Notamacropus eugenii: one gene and its partners. The protein of the gene in region 3 binds, or shares a complex with, the protein of the main gene of each other region. Links are inferred from orthologs where the notes say so. Each region holds a gene or a part of one and is shown on either strand. Other genes may lie near its edges. The genes, in order: EZH1, JARID2 and EED.

Region 1 (3,600 bases), on a different chromosome or scaffold from region 3:
GGGATGGGGACATACCATTACAATCAATTACCGTAGACCCTGAGTTCTCTGAGGAAGGGGCTCACCTACCCTTCCACTTTAATAAACATTAGGTTCCTGTTCTGCACAATGCAATGTGCTAGTTGCTGGAAATGTACGTATCCGTATCACCTCAAGACACACTAGTACAACAGCTTTCTGGTAGGTTTTGCTGTCTCAAGTTCCTCCACATTACAACTCATCCTCCAAGCAGCCGCCAAAATGATTTTTCTCAAAGTGTATGTTTGACCATGTAACCACCCCTCTCCCCCCAATAAAATCCTCTATTTGGCACTTAAAGCCCTTCACAATCTGGTCCCTTTCTATTTTGCCAGTTTTTGTTTTTTTTTTTAACTCTGCTCTTCTCCAAGCATTCTGGAATTCAGCTACATTGGCCTATTTGCTATTCCTTAAAGACAACAGGCCACCTCCAAATCTGTGCCTCCTTGTCCATGGAAGAAGCTCCATGTCTGGAATGCTCTCCCTCCTCATCTCTGTCTCTTGACTTCCTTCAAAATTCAACTCAAATACCATCTTCTTCAGGAAATCTTTCTGGGACCTCAGTATCTTCCTTCTGGGATTACCTTGCAGTTACAGTGTATATATATCTTCTATGTCAATAATTACTACCTGATGCTAAGGACCCTGTTATAACTTTTCTTTGTATCTCCAAAGATACACAGTGCCAACTCACAATAGGCACTTAATATGTTTACTGACTATAAAGAAAAAAGCAAAACAGTCCTGCTCTCAGTCAACATTCTAGTAAGGGATACAATATATACTCAACATAATTTAAAGAAGGAAAGAATCATAATTTGGGGAGATCAGGTAAGGTTTCTACATAGGCTATGCAACCTCATATGGTTGCATATGAAGGAAGGAAGATGATGCTTCCGAGAGACACAGTATAGGACCAATCAATATCCAGGAACTGGGAACAGTTTGTGGGAATACACAATAGCAGAAGATGAAATGTTGAGTTTGAGAAGCAGGTAAAAATAGCCCAATTTGTCTCTAATGTAGAGTAGATGAAATGTGGTTGGAAAAGTAGACAAGTCAGATAGTAGTCGCTATTAAACATAAGGTTTAAGGGTGTACATTTTATCCAAGAGGTATCGGGAACATTTTTGAGCAGAATGATCTGTTCTTTAGGATGATTATATTGATAGCTGTGCAGAGGAAAGATACTAGCCTGAGAATTATTCAAGGTCCTCCCCTACTTATTTATTTACATGTTGTATGCCTTATATAATAGAAGCTTCTTGAGAACAAGAATTGTTTTTCATTTAATGTCTTTGTATCTTCAATGCCTAGAAGAGTGCTTTGTATACTTACGCGTAGGTGTAGGTGACAGGAAAGATCCACACCTATAATTTCATTTGCAGTTATTATTTCATTTGTACAGTCAAGTCACACAATACAAAAGATCCTTCCACCAATGTAAATCTGCTACTCTTCCGGATACAAAGTTGTTGTACTAGTGTCTTGAGGTGATAAGGATATGTAGATTGCCAGTAACTAGCATATTGCCTTGTGCATAACAGGATGACCCAGCCAGCAAACTGTCAGAGGCAGGGCTTCTCCAAGCCTTTCTGACACCAAGGCTGCTGCTCTATATGCCAAACTGCTTCTCACCTGGCACAGAGCACGTAAAATTTGTTGAGCGAGACCGGTTAAGCTAGAGGACTGGCTCTGCGATCAGGAAAACCTGAGTTTAAATCTGGCCCCAGCTGTATGACCCTGGGCAAACCACTTAATAATGGGGATAATAACAGCGCCTAACTCCCAGGATCCTGGCGAGAGATAAGCAGGACCAACAATCAGGTGGTCGTCATTCAAACGGAGAGAAAGGGGTTCGTACACTCACACAAACCCTTTAAGAATTTCAGGCCGACTTTCATTCAAAGCCTAAACATGTACGTCCATTCCCAGCATACGCTCTTTTACTGTTACGCACCCCAACCTGCAGAGTGGAATGCCCCTCAGAGAAAACTGCCTTATCCCCTAAAAGAACCCCGTTTCCCCATACACCCCACTTTTCCCCTCTCGCTCGCTGTACAGGGATTTTCTCCTAAAGTTACCCCCTCCCTGCCAAACCCACGGCAACCCTCCCAGACGCCACCCCCCTCCCAAGGGGATGCCCTGGGGCTGTAACACCTCCGCGCACCTGGCGCGCCCCGCCCATCCCCCTCCGTGAACTCTCCACACCTCTCCTCCGTCCTCCTCAGACCTCTCCTCCCCCTCCCACCTCGCGCGGCCCCGCCTCCCCTGGCCCATCCCCCACGGGGGGGTGCTCCCAGACGGCAGACACCTCCTCCTCTCGAGCCCAAGGGAATTTTCCCCTTCCCACCCGCGCGATCTTCCTTCCTCCCTCACAGCCCGGAACCAGGGGCCTCCCCACAAACGCGGTCAGGCAGGCTGCCCCCCTCTTCCCACGTCCCTACCCCCTCTTCACCCCCGACCCCTCGGTCCCATCCGACAAGCTCCCCCCCATGCAGAGTCCCGCTCCCCGGCCCGGGACTTGTTTACTCACTCATCTTCCATCCTAGGCTGGCGAACCCAGTGGTCAGGACGCATGCGTCCTACTAGCCTCCTCGCCCCGCCCCCTGCGCAGCCCTCCTTCCTGCGCTTGCTCAGGATCGTCTGCGCCTGCGCATGCGGGGCTGGTTGCGCTGGCCTCTTTTTGGGCGCGGGCGTTCCTCGTCGCGTGCTCATTTTGTGCTTACGAACCTCGGGTGTCTGGCGCGGGCGCGTGAGCCCCACTCTCGCCTTGAGAGGCTGGACCGCCGGAAGCAGGATGGGCAGGTCCTGCCGGGTACGAAGGTGTGCCCCGTAGCCGAGACCCGCTTTCACCCAGTACACGAGATATGATAGTAGCATGTGCGCTCTTGAGAGCAGGGACGGGCTTCTTCCTTTTCTGTGCTTTGCATGCAGTAAGAGCTTCATAAATGCTCCAGGGCAGATATGACTAGAGGGTCCCACTTGGGTAGAGGGGCCCCTTGTGGGGAGGCCAGGGGTTATCCAAGGCGACCCTTGTGTGTGGTTGGAAAGACATTACCCATCTCTACCGTTTACTCCCCACCCCACCCCTTCTCCAAGGGAGATTTTCATTACTGCTAGAAGGGGAAGCCGGAGGTTGGGACCGACCACCGGCCACCCCTCTGCTCTCCTCAGGGAGAGGGAGTCATGGGGGGGAGGGTAGTCCCCAGGCTGACGACCCCTTGCTCAGCTAATACCAATTCCATACAATGAACACATATAGCAAATGGCAAAAAAAAAATTCCATTTATCCCAATCAGTATCAAAACAAATTAGAGAAGGTATATATGGGAAAATAAATACCAGACAATACAAAATGAGGGAGCTGTTCCATTAGGAGAAAAATAACTCAGCTCAACCGAGAAAGAATCCTGAATCCCACCCAAGGAAAACTTCCCCTGAAGTCTCTAGAGTAGCAAGCTGAGAACAGGGACATAATGGAGAAAAAGAACTCCTCTCATGTCTTCCCAGAATCTTTTCCTTCAGCAACCTGATGTGGGGCTGGTTTCTTCCACAGCTGGAAGGCAGCTCAGCCTGACT
Region 2 (10,880 bases), on a different chromosome or scaffold from region 3:
CTTCCTAACTATGATAAAGTGGACCCCCAATCAATCAATAAGCATTTAAGCAACTACTAAGATCAAGACAACTATTTTCAAAAGCTGTGAATTTCAGAAGGAAATTACCAATATTTCTGCTTCACCAAAAACAACCCACCACAGCATCCAAGGCACACCACAAACACTTTTATCTCAGAGACAATCAACCTCAATGAATGACCATTCTTATAAAACTCGGTGTCCCCCCACCCCCACTCCACATTCCACTAAAAGCTACTTACTTTGTATAAACTATGTTTAACAGACTGAGTGGTGCTAAATAAAGCTTTGATTTCTCCAGAGCACTGATACTAGTACCAGGATTAGAACTATGCACCTAAGAAATTCTAAGGTTTCACATTCTGAATTGTCAATAACTAAACTAAGGTGATTTTAAGCAGACCTTCCCAAAACTTTTTATTTCAGGGGGGAAAAATCTGCCCATTTTATACTATAGGAACTACAAATACAGTACTTTAAATTCACCTTGTTACTCATTCTTTATTCAAGTAAGTAGGTCAACACTCCAACTCATACAGGTCAAGGGCAAACCTCAGCCTGGATATGGATTTCTCTCTTTTTAAATGTCTTATTTCAGAGCATATGGGGAAAAGAAAATCTCTCTTATTTTATATGGAAAAATGTAGTTAGTCCTACTACTCCAAAAGATCTTTCTGGAGTTGGAAAACTGAAATAACCTTTAGGACAGAGTGTACACCAGAGTTAACACTGATGTTATTCCTAAAACACTACGAAAAGAGCTAAAAACCCAGGCCTTAGCCCTGCAGGACTTACTGGTTTAACATACTTTATAAGTGTAACTTCAGACAGTCTCACAAAGTAACAACTCTTTTTGACTTGGTAAGCAAGGGAATGACTATTGGAACTCAGAAGTCAATTATTAGCCTAAGTAAAGGCAGGCCTAGCTAATAACCTTGATCAGGCTGTACAGATCTGAGTTTTAATATTATATACTTGAAGCTTTTTTTCTGATTGCTTTTATTGGTTGCAAAACTTCATTTTCCTTTGATTTCAGTAACCCACTTTAGGCTTTTTCACATCCAAGTATTCACTAGTCTCTCTCTCTTTGAAGACCTGGCAGAAAGAATATACATAGCAAAAAGCCTAACCTTAAGAACTGTACAATCACAAGTTGGGGCAGCTAGGTGGTGCAGTGGACAGAGCAGGAGTCAGAAGGACCTGAGTTCAAATCTCCCCTCAGACACTTGACACTCACTAGCTGTGTGACCTTGGGCAAGTCACTTAACCCCAACTGCCTCATCCTGGGTCATCTCCAGTCACTGGATTCAGATGGCTCCAGAGGAGAAGTGAGGCTGGTGACCTGCACAGCCCTCCCTCACTCCAAACAAAGTCAAGTGCAGGTCATGTCATTATTTCTCTGATGGCATGGTCTTCTTTGGCAACGAAGAACGGACACACACAACAGTCACAAGTTCTCTGTGCCTCAGTTTCCCCCGTTTGGAAAATGAATGAAAATTAAATATAACCTGACAAGGCACTAAGGAAGAAATGGGACTTTAACGTCGGAAGGCTTCTTCGTTTAAACACAGGCTTGCGCAGGTGAGTAGCTGTGTGACAGATGACTGAATCTCTGAGCAAGTAAGTCACTAAGAACTCTCTGCACCACTTTCCTCGCCTGTAAAATGGAGATGACAGTATCTCACAAGGTGTGTTGTAAGGGTCTGACGGCATACTGTATGGAAAGCTCCTGCTGTGTAAGTGAGCTATTATTATTTCTAGACAACGAGAGGCGGGCAGAATGAGAGAAAGCAACCGACTCCACAAAGCCCAACTGCCCGAATCAAGAACTGGCTAGTTTAGAAACCGATCTGGCACTTTCCTGTAAGAAGGGGCAGCTACCCTAGTGGGACACAAGCGCTCACTTAAAGCTCATTCCGGTTACGAAGCGCACAGGACGGAGGCAGGGGACCCCAAGGCGGACGGCGGTACCCCAACCCTCCTGTGCTGGAACTGTCCAGACAGCCGGTCACCTCTTTGTCGTCCTCCACGTAGATGAGGGCATGGGAAGCATCTCTCCCGGCTGAAAGATGCGGCCTCGGGAGGAGAGCCCGGCACCACTCCAGTTCAGGACGGCCACGCGCGGGAGGAGTGCCCTCGGAACGAGCCACCCCAAAGTCGGGCGATCGTTCTGGCCCACGGGCGTGGGAGACCTTCCAGGGCTGCTCCACAAGGAGGGGAGGGCACCCGCGGGTGGGGGGTCTGGAACGGGGCCCCTCCCCACCGGCCCACACATCAGTGCCCCCAGACTCAGCGAGGACGAGAGGCTCCCTGGGCCCAAGTGTCCAGGCTTTTTTTAAACAAACAAGTGCACCCCATCGGGGGCCCGGGATGGAGATGACTAATCCGGTTCTGCAGGAAGGAGGACTCTCCTCCGCACCCCACCCCCACCCCCGCTCGCAGGTCGGCGGCTCTCCAGGTGCCCTCACCTGGGGGCACCCTAGGTGGCATCCCCGCCCCGCCCCCAACACACGCCCACGCCGCGCGGGGCCCGCACCTCCACTCCGCTCACGTCTCCCCCCACCCCCCCCCACGCCCCGCTCTCGGTCCAGCCCCCGACGCGCCGGGAACCTCCCGCCTTACTTTTTAACGTCACCGGGAAAGAGGGAGGGAGAGATTCCACCCAAGCCCTTCCCTTTGTGACGTCACAATGACAACAGAACGCGGCCCAGGCCCGGAGTGATTACGATCCGGGAGGGGGAGGGGGTGCGGAGGCGGGGGGGCGGGGGGGGCCCGCACTGACGTTTCGCCGGCTTTAACCTGTTGCTCGCTAGCACGTATGCACGACGGTCTAGAGGCCGGGCGGCGAGCGAGGTCCGGCGGCCGCCCGCGGCCCGAGGGCCGCCATGCTCGAATCTGCGTGCGTGTCGGTTACTCGCTGCAGTTGTGCGTGAGCTCGGCCCCCTCCCCCAAGCCGCATCCGCCCCCCTCCCCCACCCTCGACCCCTCCTCCCCACCAGAAACCGTGCCCGCGGCGGCGCGCTCGCCCGCCGTCACCTCGTCGGCTCGCGGCTTCCACTCCCTTCCCCCACCCCCCCACCGCCGGCCTTCCACCCGGGAAGGAGTCGGAGCCTCCCCACGAGCCAGAAATCCGCCCCCTATAGGCGGTCCAGAAAACCGTCCCCTCCAGAGCCACACGCCCCCTCCTCTCCCCTACAGAGCCACACATGCTCTCCCACGGAGGGAGGCACACGGGCAGCCCGGGCGATGGGAGCCGGCGGGGCCCCCGAGAGCAGCACCTCCGGCTGGGCCGTGAGGACAGCGCGGGAGCGGGGCTCACACATTGTTCACGGTGAACCAACAAAAACCCACCCCGTCGAACTTAGCGGGGGCCGGGGGGGTCTTCCCTCCCGTCTAAGTTCTTCCCTTTCTCTTGGCTCGGTAAATGCATCCGAGGCCGGCAGCAGCCCAGGACGGGGCGGAGATGTCCCCACACCAGGCTGGGTCTCCGGGCAGTTTTATACAAGCCAGAGTTTTAAACCAGTCTTCTCCATTCTCCCAGTCCTCTGCAATGCGGATGTATCTTTAATTCGTAAATTCTTTAGAGAACAGCTTTCAGTTGCTCTGGATTCTTCCCCCTCGCCCTCCCTGCACACTTAAGTTTAAGACGTCCAACTCTAGAGAGAAGTCATTTGGCTTCTCCTGAAATGAAGTCCCTTTTCAAAAAGGTAAGTGTCCCGAAGGTCACCCCACACACCCCGAGAAAAAAGAAAATGGAAAACACGATTTGGGCGTCTCGGTCGGAAACTTTGTTAAAACCCTGCACCCCTTGGAATGCTGATGTGGTCTTTTAAAAATGGGTTCTCTCATCTTCAGCATGCAGATAAATCACCAATCGCTCGAGAGCCTCTCTGGCTAATCCCCCCAGGTCTCCCTTCTTCCCTCCCTCTCCCCCCCACTTAAAAAAGAAGCCACCACACACAAAAACAAAAACACTCCCCATGCCAATCAAAACGTAGCTGTACCAACCACATATTGAACTATTCCCACACGTTTCAATCTTGGGAGATTACCCAATTACGGAAGCCCAGTTAAAACAGTGAAATTATTTATAGTTACATACATCCACATGCGCACACAAGCACTAAAGTCTCACACATTCTCCCCTAAAACTGGAAATCATGAATTTTGAAACAAAACTAATCCACTGCCCCATTATTAAAGTCCATCCCAACAAATGCATTCACCGTAACACGATTCCCAACTGGTTTCTACTGCGAACCAGATAAGCAAAACGACCACATACATTAAATTGGATGTGCCAGTGCAAAGGGACGAGATCGCCATCATCGGACACTCCATTTCAACTTAAAGGGCTTACGGCACAGTCCACAGTTTTTAAAAAAATAATAATAAGCTGGCTCATTTGTATGCCAAGTGCCATAGACAAACCCGCTGGAGAATGCAGTTGGGTTACGTTACTGCAAGCCCTGAAGCTCTGCCGAAATGCTTTTGCCTTTCATCTGAAACTAGAGGATGATTGTGTCATCTGAGGTCAATTTCACTTGGGGTATCTCTACACCGATGTGTTTTTGTAAACCAGACTGGACAGACAAGACTTCGCTTGAAAAATCCCCCTCTCAAAAAAGAAAGAAACAGCCTCATAGGACCCTGTATGTAAAACCTTTTCAGCAGCAGAATTATCTATAAACTTGACATTCACAGCCATTGCTTCAAACTGCAAGTCAAAGGATGGGTTGTTAAGAACACTTACGTATTTCTTCTGAATGATATTCCTCTTGGGTCTTTCCTTGCTCATTCTGAGATCCAAATGCTGATTGCAAAAGGGGACAATTGCTTCATGAATTTAAGCCGTCAGAAATTTGCAAAAAAATATCCTGGTGGTTTTTATTGTTGTTGGTGATGGTTGTAATCCGACTTTTCTTCCTCTTCCCCCAAAGCTAGATTCGCCTCTAAATAAATCCGAAATTGGGAAGGAAAAAAAAAGCCAAAGACGAAGCAGACAAAAAAAAATTCACTTTAGTAAAACACTCATAATGGAAAATTTCCCCCGAAACACACATACACAAAAAAAAAAACCGACGCCCTTCACTCCCCCTTTTTTCCTCCAAAAACTACATCAGCAAAACGTGAAGGTCCTTAGTGTCTGATCTGTAGTTACATCTTGGAAAAGGAAAGGGAAAGATAAATAAAAATGTTGGAAGTCACGTTTATGCTGCAGCAGCAGTGAGACCAGAAGAGTCAACTCCAGCAGCGGCGGCGGCAGAGGCAGCACAGCCCCACAGCAAGGGCTGCACCGCGTCTCTTTTTTCCAAGCACCCTAACCAATGAGAGTCGCTCTCCAGCCCAACTTTAAATGGACTCTGCTTTTATACAAGTTAGGGATCCTCAAGCAATTGCCCATCGGCACCCCAGCCGAAAACTTCTTCAGCAAGACTACGGAACAGACGCCATCCACAGCGCTGAAAGCCTCCGGAGGAAGACCGAAGAGACCCCTGGCCCTGCAGCCAAGAGGTCGGGGGGAACTCTACAAGTAGCTTCTAGACAACCCGCAAGGCTCTTCTCCGGCCCCGAACCCAGGTGTGTAATTGACAGATACTCCCTCGCTCACTGCATGGCACGCTCGGTCGCTCCACCTTCCCCCCTCCACTCCCCTTCCCTCCCCTCCCCTTCCCCAGCTTGTCTCTAGCGCTGTGAAGCTCACGCTAGAGCCGCTGCCACGGCTCCGGCATCTACCTGCAGCCGGGCAGCCCACCGCGCGTGCACCGAGCCCCCCGCCCCAGGGGAGAGCCGCTTGTTACCGGGGCGCATTAGAATCGTCCCCTTGATCTCCTGGAAGTTGTAGTCCCCCGACTACAAAATGGCTATGGCCGTGGGGGTAGAGAACTACGATTCCCAGCTTGCTCCGCGCGTCACCGCCACTCTCCGTCTCCCTCGCCCTCCCTTCCCCCTTCTCTCCTCTTTTCCCCCTCCCCGCAACCCTTGCCAACAAACGCTTGGACGTGTCCCGCGTGCGACAGCGCCCGAGGCTGGCTCCCGATTGGCCCGAAGAGCGTGTGGTCCGCGAGCGAGGAACTCCCCAATCTCCACTCCGGCCTCCCCCCTCCCATTTCCTCCTCTCTCACGCGATGGCTTCCCCCCCAACCCCCCCAGCCCCGCCGCCCTACCCCCACCCCGGGGCGCGAGGCGCCGCCTGTAAGAGCTCGAGGAATCGTGCTGCTCGGCCCTGCGCACCTGGCCTGCAGCCGGGGAGGGGCGGAGGGTAGGGAGGGCTCCCCCCTCTCTCCTTGGAAAGAGCTGCGGAGGGTGGAGGGCATGGGGAGCCCGTACCGGAGGGGGAGGGGGGGAAAACTGGGCCAGACACCAGGAGGAATCCTCGCTGCTAACGAGTTGATCGGCGGCGCCTGCTGCTTGGGCTCGCGAGCCGGTGTCACTCCAGGACACCGTGCGTGGCTTATTTGTGCAGAACTTGCTCAGAATCCGTCTGCAGGGTAGCCTGAGGTCACCTCTGCCTTCTCACGTACCCCGGCGTCCCCACAGCCCCGCACCCTGCCTGGCTGCACACAGGCACACACACAACACAGCCCACGGCCTGCGAATGCGAGCTCCCGGCCAGCGGGGCGGTTGTAATCACCCGCTTGCAATCCGGGCTCCCCGCTCGTGCACGCCGTATCCCCGGGGGGTCCCACTGTCATTTCATCGAAGGTGGTAGCGCTTCCCCCGGAGCCTGGAGGGTGCCTGCTCTGGGAGTGGGGGCAGAGTGAAGAGGCTTGTCCCTTCTGCGAAGGGCCGACGTGCATTTGGGCTGTGCGTTGGCCCCTTGGCTCCTGGGCTGGGCACCCCAGCAAGCAGTCCGTGGGCCCACGGAGCCCCCAGCCCTGGCCGCGCCGCAGCCCCGGGCGTGCCCCGCCTGCCCCTCGTACCTTCGGCGGCTCCCGGGTGCGGGCGGGCCCGGGTTACCAGCCACATTTAGCCTTCTCTAACAAGTTTGTCAGGGACCAGATGTCGAGACGGCATTGTTTAACTTTGTGGTAGCTTCAGTCTTGCCTGAGCCATGCTTTAAAGTCTCTAAGGCGGAGAAGGAAAAACAAACTCCAGGGAAAATGATTTCTGTAATAAATGAGAGGTGATATCGTGTCTGTTCTCAAGCTTGTTCCCAAAGTCACATTTTTGTCCTCCAGTTTGAATACTGACTTTAAAAGATGGAGAGTTTAGGGACCTTGTGAACCTCTGAGACGATTAATTAGGATTTTTGTAAATGTTAAGGGGTTTTTTTTTTTGTTCAGAAGTTTTAAAAAAATTTAACCCGAAGTGATAGAATTATATTTGTTTCCATACGATTTTTGATGACTTTTAGCATATTCTTAACCCTAATACTTGCGCTAATCTATGATCTCACTCATGGAAACCCTGAATCCATTTACTCAGATGATAACCTTTCTGCGCCTTCTCTGATTCCTATTCCCATAGATCCTTCACAGAAGATCTCTGCATTTTGTGGGTAGTAATGCAGTGTTCCAGCAGTCCACTTGTTATTCCTTAGTCTGGACGTATGACCCACCTTCTTTTCTGACCATACATTTTCTCCATATTGTGCCGTGGCTACTTCTTGGACGTAGGTCATCGCTGGAAATAATCTGCAGGTTGATCACCTCCTGGAGGCTGGTCTGGTAGATGATGAAATGTTTGGCCACAATAACCCTAATATATTAGGCTTTTTGTAATTGTGAAATAAATTGTAAAGATTTGGAATCATAGGATTTAAAGCTGGAAACTGACCTGAGAGGACACCTCCCCATCCATTTTACAGATTAGGAAGCTAAGGCTCCATCACATTCCTGTTCATTTCAGAGAAAGGTAAATCCTAGAACATGTGTGTGTTATTGTTTTCAATTGTGATCGCTGTTTCAATAAAGTTAGTTTCCTTTGTAATCCTACTTATTTTGTGATTTTTAAAGTACTGTTCTGAGAAGGAATAAGTAGTCTTCCCCAAGCAACCAAATGGGTTCATGAAACAAAAAAGTTGAACAGATAAGTCACACCTATCAGACTGGCTAACGTGATAAAACAGGAAAATGATACATGTTGGAGAAAATGTGGGAGAGTTGGAACACTACTTCATTGTTGGTGGAGCTGTGAGCTGATCCAGCCATTCTGGAGAGCAATTTGAAACTATGCCCAAAGGGCTACAAAAATGTGCATACCCTTTGACTCAGCAATACCACTTCTAGGGCTGTATCCCAAAAAAGATCATAAAGATGGAAAAAGGACCCACACGTACAAAAATATTTATAGCAGCTCTTTATGTGGTGGCCAAGAACTACAAATCAAGGGAATGCCCATCAATTGGGGAATGGCTGAACAAATTGTGGTGTATGAATGTAACAGAATGCTATTGTGCTATGAGAAATGACGAATAGAAACATTTCAGAAAGGCCTGGAAGGACTTACATGAACTGATGCTGAGTGAAATGAACAAAGCCAGGAGAACGTTATACACAGTAGCAACCACAGTGTTCAAGGATTGTTTCTGATAGACTTAGCCCTTCACAGCAATGCAAGGAAGTAAAACATTTCCAAAGGACTCCATGCAAAATATCATCCACATCCAGAGAAAGAACTATAAAGTCAGAATGCAGAATGAAGCAGACTGTTTTCTCTTTTGTTATGTTTTGTTTTGGTTTGCTTTTTCTCATGGTTTCTCCCATTCGTTTTAATTCTTCTGTGCAACATGACTAATATGAAAATGCATTTAGTAAGAATGTATGTGTAGAACCCATATAAGATTGCATGCCATCTTGAGGAACAAAGGGGAAGGGAAGAGGAGAATATTTAAAACTTATGGAAGTTATTGTTGAAAACTGAAAACATTAATTTTTTTAAAAAAATTTTTTTAAAAGAACAGATAAGTCCCAGAAATGGCAGAAAGACTTAAATTCAGATCTTCCTGACTCCAAACCACTCTGAAACACTACCTCTTGTTTTCACATTACATGTTAATAATCAAATGGGGGGGGGAGACAAGGAGCCCTAAGTAATATGGAACTGCGAACTCCAATTTAATATTATCATTACTGTTACTACCCAGTTTTCTAAAGTGCTTCATGATTGTATCAATTATTACCACCACCCCTATAAAAATTCAGTTTAATTGCACAAGCTTTCATTAAGAACAGACAAGGCACTGAGCACATAAAGATTGAAAGATTGAATATGACATCATCCCTGTCCTCCAGGAATACCTGAAGTTTCTATGGCCCCTCAATGTTTATAAAGCACTTTACATACATCATCTCATTTGAGTCCCAGAACAACACATAAGGTAAGTACTGCAGATGTCATTATCCCTGTTTTACAGAAGGGGAAACTGAGACTCAAAAAGATTGAATGACTCATCCAAGGTCACACAGCCAGTAAGTATCTGAGGTGCCGACACACTAATAGTCCTGAGGAATTTGGAGTTGGTTAGACTTTTATATTGCCGTTGTTCCTAGAAAGGGAATGTCAACTGACTGCCTTCATATACGCTCCATTACGAAATCCTGTCATCTCTACCACCAAAACATCTCATGTATAGTGGGTTTTCTTCCCTGACAGCAGCTATCCTAGTACCGACCCTCATCTTCTCACACCTGCACTATTTATTGTAATAATCTGCTTCCTGTTCTCCCTGACTTGTCTCATCCCACCCCAATCCATCCTCCCCTCGACAATCAAAGTCATCTTCCTAAAGTGTAGACCTGACTAGGGTCCCTACTACCTCCAGGATCAAACAGAAAATGCTCTTTGGCTTTTAAAACACTTCATAACATGGCACCTTCCTTCCACCTTTCCAGTCTTCTTCTACTTAAGAAGTATGCATCCCCTGCATGTACTCTACAATCCACTGGCATTGCCTTCTGGCTGTACCCTGAACAAGACCCTCCGTATCCCTACTCCGATTTCTACTGGTGTTCCCTGTACCTGGAATGCTCTCCCTCCTCACCTCCTCCGGGATTCCCCACTTTCCTTCAAGTAGCAAATCAGCTCCAGTCCTGCCTTCCTCAAGAGGCTTGTGGCAGCCTCCATTAATGCTAGTGTCTTTCTTCTCAGATGCCAACAACTTACCATACACATGTGTGTATTATATATACACACACATGTATACATGTATATCACGTGTAGTCTCTGTGTTATACAGTCATGCATGTTACATATCTTTGTGTATGCACAGGTGTTTATGTGCATGCATGTATGCCATTTATCTTATTGTATGTACACAGTCACGTTATATACATTTGTGCTATGTATCTTGTATTCGATGTTTGTGTGTTATATGTGTTTATCTTATGTGTGCATGGTTGATTGTTTTATATGTACATATTGTGGGTACATGAATGTTTTATGTTCTGCATGCATGCATGTATGTATATAGTTTGTGTGTGCATAGTTGTTTTCATGTTTTACGTATATATACATATAGCTTCAGCATATGTAGATATTTGCACGTTATGTGTATATATGTGTATGGATCTTTTGATATCTTGTATGTACATTGCCATTTATATGTTATATATGTATATAAATAGCTTATGCGTACATCATTGTTTTATCACATATAACTATATGTACGTGTATGTGTAGATATCTTGTGTGTGCCTGGGTTACTTGCATGCTGTATACATGTGTGTGGATATGTATGTCTTGTATGTAGTTTTTTGAATGAGCATCTTAATGGCAGAGATTGTTTTTGCCTTTATTTGTATCAGGAGCATTTCACACAGTACCTGGCACATCATAAGAGCCAAATAAATTCTTCTTGACTTGACTTAGCTATTGATCAACTCTTCCTTGAAATTCCCAGTTACTCCTTCTCCTGC
Region 3 (10,880 bases):
GTACTGCACCATACACTTAGTAACGTTTGCTGAATTAATCTATCAACATATCAATATACTACCAAAAAAGTCAATGAGAAAATAAAAGTTGTTATCCTGCAAGAATTTAATCATGTGAATATTTTTCAGTTAAAAATGCATCCCTGTAACTATCCTGCAGGTATCACAAATGTAGTTTTCAGATGCTTCTGTAAAACCCTTGCCAACAGCTATCCTAGTAGAGACTTGCTTATCAGATGAAGCCACTTCAGATAAGGAAAATTCTAAGATCTTAAAAAGAAAACAAAACTTCTACATTTATGACTGAAACCTACACTGAGCACTCCTGGTGTAGTTTTTTCAAACTAGTTACCAGGAATGGGTGAATTTATTTTATTTTTTAATAATTAATTTGTTTTCCATTTTCAACAATCACTTCTGTAAGTTTAAAATTTTCTCCCCTCCCTTCTCAAGATGGCATTCAATCTTATATAGGTTCTACACATACATTCTTATTAAACACATTTTCACATTTAGTCATGTTACATAGAAGAATTAAAACAAATGAGAGAAACTAGTAGACAAACCAAACCAAAACATAACAAAAGAGAAAATAGTCTGTTTCATTCTGAGTTCTGTCTCTATAGTTCTTTCTCTGGATATGGATGGCATTTTGTATCAAAAGTCCTTTGGAAATGTTTTAGGTCCTTGCATTGTTGTGAAGGGCTAAGTTTACCAGACACAGTCCTCATACACTGTGGCTCTTACTATGTATAATGTTCTAGTTCTGCTCACTTCACTCAGTATCAGTTCATATAAATCTTTCCAGGTTCTTCTGAAGTCCTCCTGTTTATCATTTCTTATAGCACAATAGTATTCCATTACATTCATGTACCACATCTTGTTCAGTCATTCCCCAACTGATGGACATCTCCTCAATTTCCAGTTTTTGGTCACCACAAAAAGAGCTGCTATAAATATTTTTGCACATGTGGTGGGTGAATGGGTGAATTTAGTATCAGACATGAGAATTATAGAATTCCCAAAAGTCAGGTCACCAAGGTAAGCAGTTCTTATAATCTCTTAACTTCTCTTTCAAGTTCTACTTGAAGGTTGATTCAAGGTTTACAGAAACTGTTTGTGATGGGAGTTTGTGTGTTTATTTTGAGAGAAGAAAAAGAATAACAAGAAAAATTGAAAAACTCTGATGACATTATGGAAACATTCAAAACTAAGTGAAATCTATATTCCATTATAGAATCTGACTCAAAGAGGCCTTGAGAAGCAAACTACTCCACATTCTAGAATATAATTAAGTCTCCCTGGGGAGATACCTACCTTTCCCTCAATGTACAGAGGCAGCTTCCTAACTGTCCTTGATAATATAGTTCAGTGGCTCAAAAATCTTACAATCATGAATTCCTCAAAATGTCTAAGAGTTTGTTCTTTGTGATACAATTTAAGCTAATTTTGTTTCATACTTTCTCAGTGGAATCAAACTATTAGTTCTAAACTAAAACCATCAAAAGAAATCCCCCCTAGGGTTATTTCCTAAATTAGTGATTCCCAAAGCTACTTTTGTGACACAACAATGTTTCCCCAACAGAATGGGTATCATGAACTATTCAAAATAAAATTAATTTCAACTCAATTATGCCATACAATGCTTTTTTTAAATACTGCAACTCTTACAACATTAAATACATAGTGTTTCAATTATGAATACCCTAATCCAAGAAGAAAAAAATTAGATAAATGAGGTTTATTTTTTAAAAGGGCATAAAACATGAAATTTTGAAGTTAGGTACATGAAAGAAATTAAATTCTTCCCTGAGCATTTCTCTCTTCTTTCACACATTTAAAACCTACCACACTAGCCCTTAAACTGAGGCATGGACCCTGAGGTGGAAGGGCCTGCAACAGCAAGGGCTGTATGTCATTAATGACTATGTAATAAATAAGCAAACATACCTTTTCTAGACTGAATAAATTATACTTCTCACACATGTTTTTCTACTATTTTTCAAACGTATGATGATGCTGTTGTAAAAATACAAATACATTTAAACTGTCACTGAACTCATACATAATGATGAATACTACCTATCTTCTAGTACAACTACTACATATAAAGGCAGGTCCCCAAAACTCAAAAAGATTAGAAACCACTGAGAAACTGAATTTGTAGGCAATTACTTTACATTTTGGCTAAAATGTCCTGTCATCAGTAGCCTGGCAATTTTTTTCCTTTTTTGTATTTCTCAAAATTCATTCTTCTTCCACTAATAAGTAAAAATCATCGAATCACAGAGCTAGAGATTGAATGGATCTCAAAAGTATTTAGTTTTAAGATGCTGCTCAGTCACTATCTTCCACATGAAGCCTTTCCTGATCTCCTCAATTGCAAGTCCCTCCCTCCCAGACTATCCTGTATTTAACTACTTTTCCTAACTTTACGTTTACACTGTATATATTTTATATGTGCTTGTCCCCCTAAGTAGAATGAATTGTGTCATTTTTGTACTTGTATCTCCAAGCACAGTGGGGGCCTAGCACTTGGGAGGCTTTTAATAAATACTTGCTGCTGATTGATGATCCACTCCCTTCATTTTATGATGAGGAAACTGAAGCCCAAGGAAACTGTGACTCATCCAAGGTCACACAGGAAACAGAGAGAAAGGACCTATATGATCTTTCCACTATACCACAGTAATCAACCTAATATCTTTTCTTTCTCTATAAGGCAGTAGTCAACTTAATTATTTTGATTTATTTCTCTGATCTCTTTCCAGTGGAAAAATGCATAGATGAGATAAAAAGAAACATTTTATATTCATTAAGCACCTAACATACATATGCATATATGTACCTGTGTTCATGTGTATATGTGTACACACCCACACCCACACACAAGGGGACCATGTGCCAGGTATTAGGGATAAAATGACACTAGGCTTCAAATAACTTACTTTCTGCCAAATGGAAACAACAGTTACATAGAAAAGTAAATATAAATATACATGAAGCCATTTTAGGATGGGGACAGAGTGAATCAGGAAAGGTCTCTTGAAAGAGGTGGTGCTTGGGCTGAGAGTTAATGGGAGTTATGGGTTACAAGAGGTAGACTTTAGCTGAAAGAGCACCATCCAGGTGTGAAGCACAAGTCTATGCAAAGTGTGGACAAGACATGAATGTTAGATTCAAGGAAACATCAACTAGATTGGCACAGCTGGAATAGAGAGCACTTGAGGGAGGTTGGAGGTGGGGGGTTATGTAATCAAACTGGATGGAAAGGTTAGATGCAGATTCAAAAAAAGCTTTAAATGTTAAACAGAATGGTTTGTATTTGATCCCAGAGGCAATAAGAAACTACTGAAACTTTTATTAGAAAATGATGTGGTCAGACCTGTACTTCACATTCATATAGAATATAAGCTTCATATCTGTGAATTCATTTTATACTCCTAATGAAACATTTAACAAGTACTTAGCAGGTGGCCAAGGAGGAAAAGAAATAAAATAATAGCAGTATAAGAAATAGTCTCCACTATTTTTTTTTTAACAATAGCACATGCATGACTGTCCATATATTCTCATTTCACAGATGAAAACAGAATGATTGTCTCTAAAACTCATCACTTATTTCCTTAAACTAGAATTAGATCTAGAACCCAATTCTCTTAATTCTTAGTGCCCACTTTCCCCCCCTAAACCAGGTATTATTTTTATTTTGGGGGGATATAATCAAAGTTAAGTGACTTGTCCAGGGTCACACAGCTACTAAGTATCTGAGGTCACATCTGAATTCAGATTTGCTGATTTTGGGGCCAGTGGTCTATCCACTGTGCCAGTTAGCTGCCCTGAATTAGCAGTAGAGAGAGAGAGAGAGAGAGAGAGAGAGAGAGAGAGAGAGAGAGAGAGAGAGAGAGAGAGAGAGAGACAGAGACAGAGAGAGAGACAGAGAGACAGGAAGAAAGAAAGAGAGAACTGCTTCCCCTTCTACTTCCTGTGAGCTCAAAGGTTTTAAAATGACAAAAAATTCCTTGTGGCTAACTTAGTACACTACTCACAAAATACTCATGGATCTATTACCATATATTCAGACCTTTATTTAAAGTTATCAATAAACATTTACAGTACTGAATATTTCATATAAAACTCCAAATAAGCACTGCCATTTCATTAAATAGATTAGGGCTGGTTTTCCATTAAGGCAACTGTCACCATCAGATTTCTACTGGGATATTTCTATCATACCTTTCCACTATTTCTGGCATTTTTTCTTCTTCTTTAATACTTCAACTCAGAATTGTAAAATTATTTTATTTCTACTCTTCCCTCACTCTTCTATTATTCTTTCCCCTAACCTATCTCCCTAACATATAGCTTTTCTTCCATATATACATCTGTTAGGTTTGATTCCAATACTTATAATAACTTCTTTTAAATTAACTCAGTTGAGAATGTTAACATTGTCCTCTTTAAAAAGATCAGGATAAAGCAAAAAAAAGGTCATTAATCTCTTACTAATTAATCACATGTACAACTGGAATATTTCTTAGTCTAAAATAAAGGTAATTATCTGTAAAACACAAGCTTTGCTCTCTCAGCACAGTAGGACAGAGCAGGGAGTGTAGGACTTGGAAGTAGAGAACTTAAGATCTGAGTCCAAGTTTCGCGATGTAAATTTTTCTGTGATCTTGAGAAGTCATTTAATCTCTTCAGCCTGTTTTTTTCATCTGTAAAATAAGAAAATTGTACTAGATGACCTGGAATCCCCTTTTCAACTCTAAATCTATGATTCTCATTTGTCTGATTATCAAGTACATTATGGTACCAGCAATAGAATCTTAACACCACAAAAATCAGTTGCTTTGAAAAACAAACACTAAAATGATTTTGAGACATATTGTAGATAAACTGAATACAAGAATAGAAAGAGGGCCTATCCTGTGATTTTCCTGCCACAGGTAAATATCCAGCTGAGAAAACTCCATTTACCAAAGCAGGTTGACACAATCACAGAAATTAAGTAACATGCCTAGGGTCACCCAGACAATGTCACAGACCCAGGAATTGAACCAAGGTCTTCTTGGCATTGAGGCTGGCTCTCTATCCCACTATATCATATTGCCTCTGTCATAAGAAGTCTGGAGAACAAATCATTTACCCCCCGATTAAGTTTTGGTGTGCTAATCCAAATGTTAAGTTTTGTGGCTTCTTAGAGACCCCAACCACCTATTTCTTTCAGTGATCCTCTGGAGGTTATAGATTTCTATTACACAGTATTCCTCACTACTCTTATTTAAAAGATTCTTCTTTCTCTTTAGAATGAGGAGTGGAAAGAGGGATGGACCTGGATTTAAATCTCAGTTCTGCCACTTAACATGTATAACCTCAAGCAAATCATTCCCTTCTTCATGGCCTCAGTTTCCTCATCTGTGAAAAGGATTAGATTGGTTGGATTGGATGGATAGATTGGATAGATTGCTGGATTAGATGACCTCCAAGGATCCTTCAAGAAACTAATTTATTAATTTATTTATTTATAAACTAACTTATTAAACACCTAATATGTGCCAGGCACTGTGCTATTTGCTGGGATACAGAAGTAATAATTAAAATCTGTGCTCTCAAGGTGCTTACAATCTAGCTATGTAAGATGTGTCTATCCATGCATGAATGTAAGCATACGCATTATATATGTATGCGTGTATATATATATATACACGAGTAAAAATGGGATGAGGTGAAAGGACAAGCAGCTGGGGAAAGGCGCGGGGGTCCCGCTGGTGCTTCAGAAAAGACTTCAGGTAGGAAGCCGAACTTGAGCTGAGCCTTGGAGGAAGGAGAAGAATTCTAAGCCGTAGAGGTGAGAAGGAGGCACATTCAGGCACCGAAGGTACGTCGGCGCAAAGGCAGAGACAGGAGATGGGAGCACGCGCGGAGAAAGTGAACTACATCCACACTGGAAGGGGCGCGTGGGCAGCGCCCCCAACACCGACTCGCTCTCGGTCTGAAGTTTTCCGAAGAGAGCTGAGCCCTTCTACCACCGTCCCCTCTCCCCGGACGCCCTCGTGGGCCAGCCCTACACTTCGTTGGGCCCCAGTGTGTCCCACTAAAACGCTGGCGCTGGAGGGGGGTAGGTGGAGGGCAAAGCTCCGGGGGGCGCACTACCTGTCAAGCGCACGCCGGGCCCCACGCTCCCCTCCGCGGCACCCGAGAGCCGCACGCCCACGCTACATCACCCCGACCGGCTCCCACCCGGGCACTCCGGGCGCTTCCTCCTGCCGGGGTGGGGGGAGGAGGCGACTGGTGACTCAGGTGAGGTGCCCTCCCCCACGACAGAAATATTCCCAAAGAGCCCAGGGGTGGGGGTCGGACACGTCGTCATCGCCTCCCCACCCGGGGGCTCTCCGCGCTTCCCGACGCCCCCCTTTCCGCGGGATGACACTCGTCCCGCCCGGACGGCGGGGCCACGCCGGCACAGGCGCCCACTCACGTTCTCGTCCCCGGACAGGTCCGGGTTGCTGTTCTCGTCGCTGCTCAGCTTCTGCTTCTTGGCCGCAGGCATGTCGCTTCCCGCCGGCGCTGTCGAGACTTCCCTCTCGGACATGTTCCTGCGCCTGCCCCCGGACTCCTGTCGTCGCGGCCGCGGCCTCCGCCACACCGCCGTCAAGCAAGCCCGGCCCGCGCCGGCCGCAAAGCCGCCGCCGCCGCCTCCTCCACCACTGCCGCCTCCTCCGGCCCCCCCACCGTCGCAAACCGCGCCCAGCCGCCGAGGCGGGCGGGCGTGCGGCCCCGCCACACTGCTGAAAAAGGGGCGCGCGCTTGCGCGCGCCCGCCCGCGCGGCCTCCGCTTCCCCTCCCCTCGCGGCTCCCCCCGCCCCTCCGCGGCTCACCCCACTACCCCCACCAACTCCCCCGTCGCCCGCCCGGCTCCGTTCACGCGAAAGGGCGTCGTGGGTCCGCGGGCTTTCAAGAGCTCTTTCCCGCGTGTCCCTCCAGACCCTGGTCTTTCTGCCCCGTTCCTCACCACCACCTCGAAAATGAGTGGCGGGAATGGAAGGGACTCTCCCTCAACCCTTCCGCCTCCCAAAGCCGTTTAAGCAGCAATTGGCCGAAACCCTGGATCCCCTGACGGGTTTCAGGGGACTGAGAGCCGCCGGAATGGACCAGACCATTGGGCCGCCAACGGCGGGGAAGGAGACGAAGAGATGCCTCTCTTCCTGGGAAATGAGGCGAGGGGTCGCAGTCGTGCCTTCGGCACTGAAGTCGTCATATCATTGAGTGTCGAAGGACTATGGCAACCTAACTCCAGATGCTGGAATGGAAGTAAATAACTGGAGGTATTGATACTTTAGGATCCTCCGCCGAAAAAAATGGAAGTTACCTATGAAGGAGCACGCATGCGCGAGGATGTCGTATGATACTGTCTCCGCAGTTGGACTGAGCCCCGCCCATCCCCGCTGGCCCCGCCCTAAAGCTAGTAGCTCCACCTCCTCCTAAACTGCACTGGTTTAGCGAGAGGTGTAGTGATCGTTACCCTGCTGAAGTTGTATCTGGAAAGCACTGGCGCTCCTTGCTGCAGCCTTAGGGAAATCTGCAGGCTCTTATTTGCTTCCTTTCTTTTTGCCTGCTATCACTTGTTTCTTTCATAGTTACCGTTCAAAGAGCTTCACCGGACAGAGCGCTGGGACCGGAGTCCAAAAGACCTGAATTCAAATCCAGCCTCAGACACCTCCCAGCTGTGTGATCCCCGGGCAAGTCGCTTCACCGCTGTGTGCCTCGGTTTCCTCAGCTCTAAAGTGGGGATAATAATAGCACCTGCCTCCCAGGGTGCTTGTAATTGTACAGTGGTGCTGTATAAATACTTATATTAATTATGCTTAGCATGGTACCTGATGGTCTGGAGATAAGAGTCCCTTCTGGAGGCATCAGGAAAACTCACTTTCCTGAGTCGAATCTGGCCTCTGACACCTAACAGCTGTGTAAGACACTTAACCCTGTTTGCCTCAGTATCCTCATTCTTAAAAAGAACTAGAGAAGGAAATGGCAAATTACTCCAGTATCTTTGCAAAGAAAACTCCAAATGGGGCCATGAAAAGTCCAACGACTGAACAACAAAATTGGTTCCTGGCACCATAGTAAGCTCTTACTAAATGCCAATTTCCTTCCTTCCTGATCTGACCCCCAAACCCCTTTTCGAACCTTATTGCATAGATTTCCCTTCCCACAACAAATACTACTAGGTTTGACCAAACTGGCCTTCTTACCCATTCTTTCTTTATATATACCATCCTGCTTTTTTGTTTGTTTGTTTTTGGGGGTAGGGGTGACTTTGAGACTGACTGTTCTCTATGGTTGAAATGCATCCCCTTCTCATCTCCATGTCTTAGAATCACTAGTGTTATTCAAAACTCAGCTCAAGTGCTATTTTCTATGTGAAAATATTCCTTATTCTTTCCCTGCCCCTTGTATCCAATCCTATTGTACTTTGCATCAATTTAGTAATTTTATATCTATATATTACTTCCCCCAACCATACTGTAAGCTTTTGGAGGATAAAGACTGCTTTACTTCATTTTTTGTATCCCTAGGATGTATGTAGTACAGTACTTGTTCCTATTAAGCATATAGAAAATGCTTAATAAATGTTTGTTTATTGATTGAAATGATTACTGCGTTTTCCTTCACCAGTAAAAGCCCTTCAAATCTAGAATGTTACTGTACTTCCTTCTCCCTCTTCAAAACCCTCCCTGAGTCCAGGCTCTCAACTAAGGCCCCATTCTCTCCTTTACATCTCAAAACCTCTTGATGTCATCCCTCAGTCTCTTATACTTTAATTTAGTCTGTAATAATGATGTTACCCTTACACAAGTCCAGTCCCTTTTCCAAATCTCTAGTACTTTGCCCATCTCAACCAATTCTTTTTTTCCCTCTGTACTTCCCTCCATCTCTCCCTTTTTCTGTTTCTCTCTCTCTCTCTCTCTCTTCTTCTTCTTCTTCTTCCTCTCCCTCTCCCTCCATCTTCAGGTTCCTTCTCTGATGCCAACAACCCATGCATGTACCTGTATCACCTTCATCCAGAAAAAGCTTTCCCTAGATGCTACCATTCATTCCTTTAAGCTATCATTTTGATCTCTTTTTCAGCCAAACTCCTAGATTAAAAGCTGTCTATACACACTGCCTTCACTTCCTTTCCTTTCATTCATTCCTCAACCCTTTACAATCTGGTTTCTGACTTCATCACTCAACTGAAGCTGCTCCCTCCAAATTTGCCAAAGTTGCCAAACCTTATGAACTTTTCTCAGTCCCCATCCTTCTTGACCTCTCTGTAGCACTCAACATTTTTGAATACTCTCTCCTCTTGTATACCCTCTCTTCTCTGGATTTCCATGACACTTTTTTTCTTGGTTTTCCTGTCTCTCTGGCTGTTCCTTTTCAGCCTCCTTTGCCGGCTTCTCATCCATATGGCATCCCCCTCCTTCCCTTCTCCCCCTACCCCAGACACCTGTGTTCCTACAAGCTGTCTTGGGCCTTCTCTTTAAAATACATTTTCATTTGATGACCTCATCCTTTGCCATGGGTTTAATGATCATCTCTATGCAAATGACTCTGAGATGTTTATACTTAAATTCAATCTCTCTCTCAAGCTCCAGTCTCACATCCCCATCTGCTTATTGGACATTACAAACTGGATGTCTCAGAGCGATATCTTAGACTCAACATAAGCAAAATCTTCCCTACCATCCCTATCCTGCTTCCTTGTTTCTCTGCCTCTTCTAAGCTTTTACAGCATCTTGCTTTAATCTTTTTACATATTGCCACGTATGAAAGTTATTTTTGAACATGTCTTATCTGTCCTTTGTTTGTAGAGCTCTGACAGGTACCCTGATTAAAAACAATTGATTGAGTTTGTCAAGTGCAGAGTCCTCTGAAGGAAAATAATGGTCCCAGTCTTGATCAGAGAAATTAAAGGAAGACCTCGCAGTTTCAAGGCAGAATTCATATGAGTACGTAATCCAAAGGGCAGGTCAAGAAGCTGAAAAGAGTTTGTATCAACATTTTCAAAGCAGAAAAATCAGTGAGGAATATATAAAGTTTTGTACATAGGTTTTGATTTGGAAGATTTGAAAGAAATTATCTAGTCCAACCCTCCCCTCCTCCATTTTGAAGTAAAGAAACTTAGGCTTACAAAGGTGATATGATTTGCCAAAGACTACTCAGTCATTAGGCAGATATTTGAACTCCTGTCTTCAGATCCCAGATCTAACAGCCTTTCCACTTACCAGGGTATTGTACTACTCTTGAAAAAGATAACGGGCTGATCCTAAGGCATTAGCAGAAGATTGTTGGTGGACAGCCCCTGTACTGTACTGTTATCCTGGTGATATTAGGAGAAAGAGAGGAAGCCATGCACTCCACACGCCCAGTAGGTTTAGGTGGACACCCTGTGGCAAAGGCTATAGCCAAGGAGCTCACAATCTAATGGGGGAGACATCAAGTAAACAGCCAAAAACAAAAAAAAGGCTACATACAGGATAAATTTAAAATAATCAACCGAGGGGCAGCATTAGAATTAAGATAGGGATAGGTTTTCAGTAAAAGGTGAAACTTTTAGTTGGGACTTGAAGGAAACCAGGAGGTAGAATGAGGAGGGAGAACATTCTAGTCATGGGGGACAGCCAGAGAAAATGCCCAGAGATGAGAAAATGAGTCTCTTCTTTGTGAGTCAACATGGAGGCCAGCGTAATTGAATTGAATAGTACACAGAGAGCAGTAAGGTGTAAGAAGACTGAAAAGGTAGGAGGGTACTGGGTTAGGAAGGATTTTGAATGCTAAACAGAGGACTTTATATTTTATTCTGGAGGTGATAGGAAGACAGCAGAGTTTATTGA

What was found.
Region 1: the proteins of EED (region 3) and EZH1 are in contact, whole or in part, in a cryo-EM structure (PDB 7KTP), measured with the Homo sapiens proteins. The link is inferred for Notamacropus eugenii from reciprocal best matches to the Homo sapiens genes EED and EZH1. Residues at the interface, in NP_003788.2 of Homo sapiens: Cys84, Val85, Asn86, Ser87, Leu88, Lys89, Glu90, Asp91, Trp103, His104, Ser105, Lys106, Glu107, Val112, Arg120, Leu123, Tyr124, Gln129, Gly130, Glu131, Ile132, Arg133, Leu134, Leu135, Gln136, Ser137, Tyr138, Val139, Asp140, Tyr154; in NP_001982.2 of Homo sapiens: Gly37, Ala38, Lys39, Leu41, Tyr42, Val43, Asn45, Phe46, Lys48, Val49, Gln50, Lys52, Thr53, Gln54, Leu56, Asn57, Glu59, Trp60, Leu63, Arg64, Val65, Gln66, Pro67, Val68, Gln69, Ser70, Met71, Cys83, Thr84, Ile85.
Region 2: the proteins of EED (region 3) and JARID2 are in contact, whole or in part, in a cryo-EM structure (PDB 6C23), measured with the Homo sapiens proteins. The link is inferred for Notamacropus eugenii from reciprocal best matches to the Homo sapiens genes EED and JARID2. Residues at the interface, in NP_003788.2 of Homo sapiens: Pro95, Phe97, Tyr148, Arg306, Asn307, Tyr308, Cys324, Asp362, Ile363, Trp364, Tyr365, Arg414, Asp430; in NP_004964.2 of Homo sapiens: Pro109, Gln114, Arg115, Lys116, Phe117.

The regions. Positions count from the first base shown.
Region 1 is NC_092873.1:359,238,323-359,241,922, forward strand, and holds the start of EZH1 (histone-lysine N-methyltransferase EZH1), read right to left. Parts: upstream 2,648-3,600; 5' UTR 2,559-2,647; coding exon 2,555-2,558; intron 1,966-2,554; exon of another isoform or gene 1,357-1,965; intron 1-1,356.
Region 2 is NC_092875.1:187,484,088-187,494,967, reverse strand, and holds the start of JARID2 (protein Jumonji), read right to left. Parts: upstream 5,612-10,880; 5' UTR 4,820-5,611; coding exon 4,775-4,819; intron 1-4,774.
Region 3 is NC_092876.1:115,114,838-115,125,717, forward strand, and holds the start of EED (polycomb protein EED), read right to left. Parts: upstream 6,796-10,880; 5' UTR 6,596-6,795; coding exon 6,482-6,595; intron 1-6,481. UniProt on the Homo sapiens protein: Polycomb group (PcG) protein. Component of the PRC2/EED-EZH2 complex, which methylates 'Lys-9' and 'Lys-27' of histone H3, leading to transcriptional repression of the affected target gene.